3 linked regions of the Sus scrofa genome follow. The protein of the gene in region 1 binds, or shares a complex with, the protein of each later gene. Links are inferred from orthologs where the notes say so. Each region holds a gene or a part of one and is shown in the gene's direction. Other genes may lie near its edges.

What was found.
Region 2: NSMCE3 (region 1) and NSMCE2 share a complex: the UniProt entries of both Homo sapiens proteins name them as parts of the SMC5-SMC6 complex. The link is inferred for Sus scrofa from reciprocal best matches to the Homo sapiens genes NSMCE3 and NSMCE2.
Region 3: NSMCE3 (region 1) and EID3 share a complex: the UniProt entries of both Homo sapiens proteins name them as parts of the SMC5-SMC6 complex. The link is inferred for Sus scrofa from reciprocal best matches to the Homo sapiens genes NSMCE3 and EID3.

What each region holds. Positions count from the first base shown.
Region 1 is NC_010443.5:144,471,127-144,474,778, reverse strand, and holds the start of NSMCE3 (non-structural maintenance of chromosomes element 3 homolog), read left to right. Parts: upstream 1-752; 5' UTR 753-858; coding exon 859-1,695; 3' UTR 1,696-3,652. UniProt on the Homo sapiens protein: Component of the SMC5-SMC6 complex, a complex involved in repair of DNA double-strand breaks by homologous recombination. The complex may promote sister chromatid homologous recombination by recruiting the SMC1-SMC3 cohesin complex to double-strand breaks.
Region 2 is NC_010446.5:14,595,367-14,599,044, reverse strand, and holds the start of NSMCE2 (E3 SUMO-protein ligase NSE2), read left to right. Parts: upstream 1-852; 5' UTR 853-981; exon of another isoform or gene 982-1,060; intron 1,061-3,678. UniProt on the Homo sapiens protein: E3 SUMO-protein ligase component of the SMC5-SMC6 complex, a complex involved in DNA double-strand break repair by homologous recombination. Is not be required for the stability of the complex.
Region 3 is NC_010447.5:80,220,905-80,224,654, reverse strand, and holds the end of EID3 (EP300-interacting inhibitor of differentiation 3), read left to right. Parts: 5' UTR 1-131; coding exon 132-1,229; 3' UTR 1,230-3,321; downstream 3,322-3,750. UniProt on the Homo sapiens protein: Tissue-specific component of the SMC5-SMC6 complex, a complex involved in repair of DNA double-strand breaks by homologous recombination.

The sequences.
Region 1 (3,652 bases):
CAGGATGCCTAAAATTAAACGGCAACCTCTTGAGAGCGCATATCTTTGTTGGTAGCTTTCTCTCACCCATTTCTGCTAAAATTCTGGTTGTGGGACCAAGGCGATTTTCATGAGCATGTGCTTTATAAAAGATAAACTCCCTTGACCAAGCAAAAACACTCCAATTAAACGTGATTTATGGGGCGGCTTCGCGAAGTTGTCCAGCTGATGGTATTTATATGTACACAATATCGACACTGAAATAGTGAAAAGGCAAGTCTGTTGTTACCTTTGTTTTTAAAGAGACTGTTTTAAACAGGCTTTAGAGAAAGTAACTCTTGGGAAACGGTTAGGAGGGATTGGTGAAAGCAAACTAGTCCTCATGGTTTTTCATTCCTTTTACATCTAGTTTTGAATGGAAAAGAAATGCTTTCACTTTCCTTTCACGCTCTCCGCGGTTTTTCTCCCACATTCACCTTCGGAGTTTCCTTCACCTAACAAGTTCCGACTTGAGAACTCGTCATACTTACTCTCAGTAGTCCTAGTCGCTCTGTTAGGGGCTTTGTTTCCTGTTCTCTATCTGCTTGGCTTGGTAAGGACAATCCTTAATTATAATAAAAGAAGCCATAGGGACCGCCAAGGCTGAGCAAAGACCCCACTTTCCTGACTGCCAAAAGGCCACTGCTCCGACCTACCCACAAGACGTGGCGCGAACTCCGTGACGTAGCGCGCAGCCCTCTTGACGCAGCGCGCAGCCTCCGTGAGGAACTCGCGCCCGTGGCCCCGCCCCGGGCCGCCGGGACCAGCTGCGCGCCTACCCGCAATCTCGCAGCCGCCGGTTACTGTGAGTCCGCGCCGTCCGGGGCCCGCCGCCGCGATATGTCGCAAAAACCGAAGAGTCGCGGCCGCGCCGGCACCCAGGCAGAACGGGAGCGGGACTGGGGAGGAGGCGGCGGCGCAGAGGAGGTCCCGAGCACGTCCCGCGGGCCTTCCTCGCAGGGCGGCCGGCGGGCCGAGGCCTCCCCAGCGCCGGGGCCCCGGTCGCAGAAGCAGCTGGAGCTGAAGGTGGCCGAACTCGTGCAGTTCCTGCTGATCAAGGACCAGAGGAAGATCCCGATCCGGCGCACCGACATCCTGAAGCACGTGGTCGGAGACTATAAAGACGTCCTCCCGGAGCTGCTCCGGCTGGCAGCCGAGCGCCTGGAGTACGTGTTCGGGTACCGGCTGGTAGAGCTGGAGCCCCGGAGCAACACCTACATCCTGGTCAACACGCTGGAGCCGGTGGAGGAGGACGCCGAGGTGCGCGGCGACCAGGGCACACCTACCACCGGGTTGCTGATGATCGTGCTGGGGCTCATCTTTATGAAAGGCAACAGCATCAAGGAGACGGAGGTCTGGGACTTTCTGCGGCGCCTCGGGGTGCACCCCACCAAGAAGCACCTGATCTTCGGGGACCCCAAGAAGCTTATAACCGAGGACTTCGTGCGGCAGAGGTATCTGGAGTACCGGCGCATCCCCCACACTGATCCTGTGGACTACGAGCTCCAGTGGGGCCCACGCACCAACCTGGAGACCAGCAAGATGAAGGTGCTCAAGTTCGTGGCCAAAGTCCACAATCAGGACCCCAAGGACTGGCCGGCTCAGTACTGTGAGGCTCTGGCTGAGGAGGAGGCCAGGGCCAGACCCCCAACAGGTGGCCCAGCCCCTTCTTCTTGAAATCTGAGAGACTCAGAGGGACTCCAGGGGGGGGTGGGGGGCGTGTGTGTGTGTGTGTGTGTGTGTGGTGTGTGTGCATCTTTCTGCTAAAGCTTCAATGTGCGTAGTTTTAGGATGTGTTTGCCGACTTATATTGCAAGTTCCTTGGTTCCAAATTTTCACCTATAAAAATATTAACGGACGATTTGTTTTGATTTATTGTCTGTGTTTTTTGGTATAAAAATCTCGCTAGCTTTCTAAAGCTAATTGGAAAACTTTGTACCATGATCTGGAAATAGATATTGAAGAAAGAACACGTCAGTAAGTTGCTTTGATGTCAAGGAAATAAAAGCACGAAATGGCTCTTACCTGGCCTCTTGACGACCCCACTTTGAAAGGAACAATAAAAGTCTATAAATTGAAACAATAAAAGTCTATAAAATGTAATTGCCTATATCCCTTTTTAAATTTAGCATAGCTACTTTTAGAATGTATTTTTTATGTATGTAAGCGTTATGAATCATTCTAAGTAATGTACATGCTGTATTTTTCCCAAATAACTTTACCTCGATAATTACTACTAGGTTGTGTGGCTGACTTTTAGTTACATTTATTTTTTTCCTTTTTTGGCTACTATAGTTACAATAAATACTGTGTTTTGAAGCAGCATTGTGCATTTTTTTAACCATAAGTCGAGAAATTAATTTCATGACTGAAAACAGGCATCTTAACAAAAAACACTTTTTGCTACATAGCATTAAGGTAAATAGTGTTTTGTGGAAATTGTTTTATTTGTGTATGTGCATATCACGATGTAAAATGTATTTCTTTCAGTGGGTTACAGAAAAGATAAAGCCATTAGTGATTAACCATGCCTACCTGGGAAGCAAACTATCTGGATTCAGATTCTACTTCTGCATAACTAGCTATATGAATTAGGCATGTTACTTAAGATGTATACAGATTTTTCCTCACCTGTAAAGTGGGTTGATGATGCCTGTATTGTGTGTGATGTGATACTTAGATATGGAAATATGTGTGAAGTTCTTGGCACAATGCTGGGTGTGGGGGATTTTAGTTGTTGCTCTGTTCCTTAAAAGTTTGTTTAAATATGTTTTTTATTCTTGGTATGGAGCAACAAAAAAAAATTTTGAAGGTTTTCTTTCATTATCTATTTAGTTTTCAATTTGTCCTATTATTTTGTAACTTTGATCACTTTGGTTAAGGTGGTTTCTGCCATTCCTCTACACTTTGAAATTTTCCATTTCCCTTTGTAACAAACAAGCAACTTGTGTGGAGACAGAGATTTTGTAAATATTGTATTCCTCACCAAAATTTCAGTTTATTCACTTTTATCTGTATAGATTCATTATAGTCTTTTATTGTCACGATTTATTTTGATACCCAAATTGTCCCTGTTTGCCACTGGGAGCATTTTAAAGCTGGCTTTTGTGTCTTCTACTTGCCCCCATCATTCTTTGAGCAATTCCATACTTTCTGGCACAAAAAGATCATTCAGCCTTAACTTGAATTTTCCCTGCCACAGACCTCTCAGCCATTTTCTCCAAAGAGCTCTGATTCCTTTTGGATGGAAACGAATTCAGAAACAAGGTTGCCAGGTTTCCTCATGCCTTCTAGAAGTATCCTTGCTTCTAGCCCTCTACATGACAAAGTTAGTCTTTTTGTCTATTTGTATATCTAGCTATCATCTACTGAAAACTATGACATTACATTGATAATAGCATATCCATTCTATACCGTAGTGTTTATTATGGTTTTCTCCCTTGTTCTATCTGTACTGTTCTATCTGTACCTAACTTCTCGAACAGTAAGAAATTCATATCCTTTAATCCTTCTAATAATTATTTGATCAATTGCCTGTAAATAACCAGTCTCTTCTGGCTGCCACACCCTCCTGTGTGGGATGCCCTTTCCTCCGTACTGGGAAGCTGACATCCCACCAGAACTGCCCTGGGCA
Region 2 (3,678 bases), on another chromosome or scaffold:
GATAAATAAGAAAAACCATAAGGTGTTTGTTGTGGGCAGAGGCAGTAAAGCCTCTCCCTCCTCGCCTCCAACCCCGTTTCACCTATGGTGTAGGGAAGTTCCACACACTTGGAATCAGGAGACAAGGATCCATTATCCGCTCGGTTAAACCCCCGGCCCCCGCCGCCGCGCCTGTCGCTCCCGTTAACGGGGGAGTTCGTTAATGACCACAGACAAATCAGGACCTTCGGAACTATTTCTCGAAATGAAAAGGACTTTGATATGTCATAGGTAAGGGAATTAAGGTGCAAAAGAGGAGCAATGATTTGCCCAAACTCACAGTCCATGACAGAAATAGAATTCAAAGCCAGGTCCGTCAGATTGTAAAAGCCCGCACCAACCACTCGATTTTCTTGAGTGTAAGTGGAGAAATATCGACGTCCATACACCACTGCTCCCAGGAACTTGGAAGGACACGATGCTGGCCAAGTAGCTGAACATCACTTTCTAAAGCGCCAAAGCGCGTGAAAAATTGCTTCCACCTGAGTGGAGATGCAGAGCCTGGATTGCAGCCGCAGCCGCAGCCGCAGCCCCAGTAAAACCCTCATTCCTCCAGGCCAGGCTGTCCCATCCAGACCCCACCCCACGCCGCAGAAGCACCCCTGGCCAGAGCGGCCCAGCCCCGGGGCGGCGGGGAACGTGAAAGGAGGAGGCGCGCGCACCCCGCCCCGACTCACCTGTCCCCCGGGCCGCTCCAGGGCGCACGCGCAAGGCCGGCGGTCTAGCGCGGAGTCAGCACCCCGGCCCCCACCTCTTTGCCTCCGCAGGGGTCCTCTTCAGTCCCCCGCCCTGGCTCCAGAGCCGGCTGGACCCCGGCTTCCGCCCCTGGCTCCCTGGGCAGTCACATGACAAAGGGGCGGAGAGTGGGGCGGGGCATCATGTGACCACTCGCCGTCGACGACTGATGACGCCTGAGCCCGCGCTCGCTGTTTCAGCGACAGGGTAAGGGAGTTAAGGAAGGAGTTGGGGTTCGGGGTGCGAAGTCAGGGCGCAGCCAGGCAGAGGTACATCGGGGAGCCAGGTACGGCTGGAGCGGGGGATGGCGATGGGGAGGGTGATGGGGGGTGTCGTCTCCCTCTCGGGCGCTCCGCGGGTGCCCTGAGCTGTGGTTTGTGGACCTGGGTTATGGTCCTAGATCTGTTTACGCCACAGGAATGAGGTAGGGGCCGTTTACCTCCCTCTCCAAGACGCCGTCTCTACATCCTTGGGTTCTCAGTACGTAGGGGCAAAGATCACGAATTCTTTTTTTATTTTTATTGAAGTATAGGTGATTTACAGTGTGGCGTTAGTTTCTGGTGTACAGCAAAGTGGTCAGTTATGCATATACTTTTTCAGATTTTTCGGTTATAGGTTATTGAGATACTGAATAAAGTTCCCTGTGCTATACAGTAGGACCTTGTTGTTTATTTTATATATAGTAGTGTGAGACCATGAATTCTTGATCGAAGTAAATGTAGTTTGAGCTAGCTTTCTAAGCAGGGCCTTGGGAAGATCTTTAATTAAACTCTGGGCATCAGTTTCCTTTTCTATAAACGGTGGTAGGATTAATGATAATGAGAATGGAAGAAAGCCTAGGGCACCAGTTTATAACATACTGTAGGGGACCCAGCAATGACGGTTTCTTTTATTCTGTAACTCTCCCAAATCTTTATTTGATTGCCTATTTTTGTGTGAGGAGCTGTTTTATGTTGAGTAGAATATGTCAGAATTCTAGTTTTAAGTTGCTTCCAGGGCGAAAGAGTGGCAGACATGTGAGCAAATAATTGTGGTGAGTTTTATAATACAAGTTTGTGTGTGAGAGGGAGAGAAAGAGAGAGAGAGATAGGGATAGTGGTAGCATGAGGGAGAGAACAAGCAGTTGCTTGTATGGATAAGAGAAGGCTTCAGAAAGATGTAACCTTGCGTATTGAAAAAGAAGATACAGCTCTGGTGGAACTTGTGTAGGCCCCTAAGAATTTAAAGGAGTATCAGTATTTAAATTATTTGATCTGTGCTTATTACTTTCTGTACAAAAAGATGAGAGGAGGGAACAGAGAAATATTTTTATTTTTACCTAATAATTGGCCCCATCTAGAGAGAATCTTATGAATGTTTCTATCCTATCTCCACTCCCCACCGCCCCATCCATATGTTGAATTCCGAATGCCAGGGTGATGGTATTAGGAGGGAGCGGATGTGGGAAGTGCTTAAATCTTGAGGATGGAGGTCTCCTGGAGAGCTGCTCCCTTGTGCCTTTTACCATTTGACAACACAGAGCTAGAACTAGAAGGCCCTGGCCATGAACCACAGGAAGAGGGCCTTCATCAGAACGTGACTGTGCTGGTGCTTTGACCTTGGACCCACTCTCCAGAACTGAGAAATGTTTCTATTGTGTATAAGTTACTGTGTCTGTGGGTGACTGTGCTGGTGCCTTGACCTTGGACCCACTCTCCAGAACTGAGAAATGTTTCTATTGTGTATAAGTTACTGTGTCTGTGGTATTTTGTTAAAACAGCACTAACTGACAAAGGCTTGTTAGGGTAGGCAACATAACCTGCTAGGGAAAAACTCAGGGGGTGTATAACCTTGCTTTAAACTTTCTTTGAGGAATTCCCATTGTGGCTCAGAGCTTAACGAATCCGACTAGGAACCATGAGGTTGCGGGTTCGATCCCTGGCCTTGCTTAGTGGGTTAAGGATCTGGCGTTGCCTGAGCTGCGGTGTAGGTTGCAGACTCGGCTTGGATCCCGAGTTGCTGTGGCTCTGGAGTACGCCGGCAGCTACAGCTCCGATTGGACCCCTAGCCTGGGAACCTCCATATGCCGAGGGAGTGGCCTAGAAAAGGCAAAAAGACAAAATAAATAAATAAATGAATAAATAAACTTTCTTTGAGACCAGAGGGACAGAGAACAAAATAATCACGGTTATTTTGGGAAGGCTCCAGAAGGGGGTGAGTTTAAATCAGGGTTTCTTCACCACTGCACCATTGGCATTTCGGGCCAGATAATTCTTTGTTGTGAGATTTGTCTTGTAAATTATGTCCTTAGCTGTAGTTAGCAGGAGAAATAGGGAACAGTGCCTTTACTCTATTTTTCTTCTCCAGCCATTCTCTTTGCCTCTTGATCTGAATGTTGCCCTTGATACCTCAGAATTACAGAAGGAAGTTTTCCCTACCTCTCTGCAAGTGTAAAGTTTCATTGGAGTAATGCGAATTTTGCATTCGTATTATGAGGATGGCTACCACGTCATAGACACTTTACATTTTTCCTGGATTATATTAATCCTCATACATTGTGTATTAGTCAGTTCAGGCTGCTGTTAAAAAATACCATAGACTGGTGGCTTAAGCAACAGAAATTTAGTTCTAACAGTTTTGGAGACTGGAAGTTCGAGATCATGATGCTGGGATGACTGGACACTGGAGGGCTCTCTTCCTGGTTTGCAGATGGCCACCTGAGCTGTATCTTTACGTGGTGCAGAGAGAGCAAGCCCTGGTATCTCTTCCTCTTCTAATGACACTAATCCCATCACGAGGGCTCCAAGTCATGACCTCATTTAAATCTAATCATCTCCCAAAGGCCCCATCTCCATATATCATCACCTGGGAGTTAGGGTAAACATCGGAATTTTGTGAGGGATGTGCTTATCTCGGTGTCTTCAT
Region 3 (3,750 bases), on another chromosome or scaffold:
TGGGGGCGGGGCCTCTGGGCCGTCCCTAGCGCGCATGGGCGGACGTCCTCCTCCGCTCTGTCTGACCCCTTCGATTTTCCGCCGTTGTCCTAAACGTTGCCGGGGCGTCATCTGAGCCATCAGTTCCCGAAATGTCTGATGAAAGAGATTCCCTGAGGTGGGGGGACAGAGAGAAAGGAGAGGAGCCGGTTGTGACCGTCACCCGCAGTGCGTACTCTGGCAGGCAGGCGCAGGAGGAGGAGGGGGAGGCAGGGGCTGATGCCTTCTCTGACGACCTCAGCCTTGGGGAGGCCGACATTGACCCAAGCCTCCTGGAGCTTGTGGACGAGGAGAAATGCCGGAGTATCCGCAAGCAGTACCGGCAGCTCATCTATAACGTCCAGCAGAACCGTGATGACATAGTGAACACGGCGAGCGACTCCTTAACCGAGGCTCTCGAGGAAGCCAATGTCCTGTTTGATGCAGTGAGTCGAACAAGAGAAGCCGCGCTTGATGCGCAGTTTCTTGTTTTGGCTTCTGATTTGGGTAAAGAAAAAGCAAAGCAGCTAAACTCTGATATGAGCTTTTTTAATCAAGTAGCATTTTGTGACTTTCTGTTTATATTTGTGGGTCTAAACTGGATGGAAGATGATGGACGTGATGTATTGAATGACTGTGATGATAATATAGCTTTTTCCTTCTGGGAGACAGTGCAAAAGGAAGCAACATCGTGGATATTGCAAGCTGAAACATTCCACTTTATTTTTGGTTCATTCAAATCAGAGCCTTCTTCTCGAAAGCCCCGACTTGAAAACCGGAAAAAAGTTCACAAGATGGAAGAAAATGGGGACATGCCTACAAAGCTGAGGAAGCTGGACCTGAGTAGTAATCAAGAAGCGACAGAAAAAGAAGTAGAAAGAATCTTGGGATTGTTGCAAACATACTTTAGAAAGTATCCTGATACTCCCGTGTCCTATTTTGAGTTTGTGATTGATCCAAATTCTTTTTCTCGTACTGTGGAGAATATATTTTATGTTTCTTTCATTATAAGGGATGGTTTTGCAAGAATAAGGCTTGACCAAGACAGGCTGCCAATATTAGAGCCAATTAATATGAACCAAGTGGGTGAGGGAAATGATCCCAGTTCCCATGGCAGGAAACAAGGGGTTATATCTTTGAGTTTACAGGACTGGAAAAATATTGTGGCAACTTTTGAAATTTCAGAGGCTATGATCACAAACTCATACTGAAGATAACTTGCTCTTAGAATGTATTTTGTGGCTTTTCTAAAGCATATCAAAACGGCTAATAAAATCCAAACAAAACACACATTGTATCTCTTGTAAAGTGAAAAAGTATTATCAATAACATCAGAAGTTGTGTACTGTGCAATGTGTTTTTCTTGGTATTTATAGAATTGTCATGATTTTCTGCTAACTAAAGAAATTCACTAGCATGTTTGTGGAAACTTTTTTTTTTTTTTTTGACTGTTCCTTAAGACCTTATTAAGAGAAGTTCTGAATTTTTTAAATTAAAAGGTGTTTGACAATTGCAAAAACTTAGTTATGAGGCTCTGTGATACTGCATTGCTTCCTCTGCTACAGGGAATCAAGGGAATTCCATATAGGCTCTTAACCAGGTTGAGGGAAAGAGTGGGTGAAAAAAAATGGTCTGGAAAGACTATCTGTAGGGCAGTGCATAAATACTGTAAAAAAATTCAGATGCCGTGCCTCATTGCAAAGAGGACTCAGCAAATTAGCAGGGATATCCAGATTCTAAAGAATTTCTCCTGTGATTGGACTCAGCGGAAGTAGAATATCTCTACTATAGTAGGTGAGGCATTAACTAAGTGCTGAGAGATGAGTAGAAATTGGTCAAAGATAGGAAAAGTATTCTAGCAGGGAAATATGGAGGCCAAATACATGGAATTGTAAGATGTTACGGTATCAGAAAGATTTATAAGCTTTTTCTGAACACTGTTCCATTTGAATGTTATATTGGGCAAAAATTGATTTACTTCATTCATCTGTTAATATCCTCAGAGGTTGAAGATCTCTGTCAGATTATTTCACACGCAAACTATTTTAACATCCATTTACAATCTCTATCTACTTAAATTCTTCTCTGGCTTCTCATTTTTCCCTTGTAATTTATGTTAGTACACAGTGATTCTGCTAGTATCTCAGAATCAGTGATGTTTCATTATGTTGCAGCCTTGAAATGTTTGTTACCATTTCAACTTTGTATTTCTCAATAGGGCTTTAAATGCCTGGAAATTGTCCTTGTTTAAATTTAAATATATGACTAATTTATCCAAATATTCTTCACTTCTTATAAAGTCAAAAGGCTTTATGTTGTTGCTTATAATTATTTTAAGAATATAAATTGCATTGTTATTTGGAGGCTACTGTTAGAAATTTGGGTCTTTAAGAAAACAATTTTTGAGTTCCCGTCGTGGCTCATCAGTTAGCGAAGCCGACTAGAATCCATGGGTTCGATTCCTGACCTCGCTCAGTGAGTTAAGGATCCGGTGTTGCCGTGAGCTGTGGTGTAGGTCGCAGAAGTGGCTCAGATCTGATGTGGCTGTGGCTGGCATAGGCTGGTAGCTACAGTTTCGATTGGACCCTAGCCTGAGAACCTCCATATGCCATGGGTGCAGCCCTAAAAGACAAAAAAAAAGACCAAAAAAAAAAAAAAAAAGCAATTTTTGAAGGTGCTGTGAGCATGCTTGTAAGCTTTTCTTGATCTCTAGAAACTTAATCTTGGGTCGTAGTGGGTCTTGCCATTAAACCGTATTTAGTAAGTGGGTAAGTATCTGCTTTGTTTAGCAGTAATGATAAACTTTACTGCCACGTCTCATGTAGTAAGGGAAGGGAAATCAAAAGGCTAAATGAATGACATTGAGATTGAGAGGTTCTTTAGTCTTAGTGGAGGGTTTTAGCAAACATAGGAATTTCTCCTGAGACATGGCCTATTATTTTCTAAACTAGTCGTTCCTTTCCCTTTTTTCATGTGAAGGGGTCCTCTCCCTTCCCAGTACCTACCACCCTTTGATCTAGCAGCTGTGGAGGCCTCATTTCGTCTGGCTGATTCTTCCTTTAGTGTGTCTTCCAGCCGCCCCCTTAGGTTTTCCAGAGCTTTGCTGTTTGGGGGAAAGATCTCGACGGGAGCAGAAAGATCTTGCCTCAGGTCTGCTCACCACCGGATGACTCTTTAAACACCAGGTGTCTTGACCAGGAGTGTTTGCGACTTGATGATTGAAAGCACATTGCGTAGCAGAGAACGGGGAGGCTTGTGAAGGAGGGCATCTTTGGGTCTCCTCTAAAGTTACAGCAGAAATAGAATTTTTTTTTTTTTTTTTTTTTTTTTTTTTTTTGCTATTTCTTGGGCCGCTCCCGCGGCATATGGAGGTTCCCAGGCTAGGGGTCGAATTGGAGCTGTAGCCACTGGCCTACACCAGAGCCACAGCAACGCAGGATCCGAGCCGCGTCTGCAACCTACACCACAGCTCATGGCAACGCCGGATCGTTAACCCACTGAGCAAGGGCAGGGACCGAACCCGCAACCTCATGGTTCCTAGTTGGATTCGTTAACCACTGCGCCACGACGGGAACTCCCCAGAAATAGAATTTAAGTTAAACACTTGTTTCTGTTTTTAACTGGTTGTCATGACACCTGGATTGCCTCATCACTTGGAAATTAAGCCACTACTTACCTTGAAGAAAAAAGGAAAATTGACCAATAGATAATTCATTTTTAGAGATTAGGTAA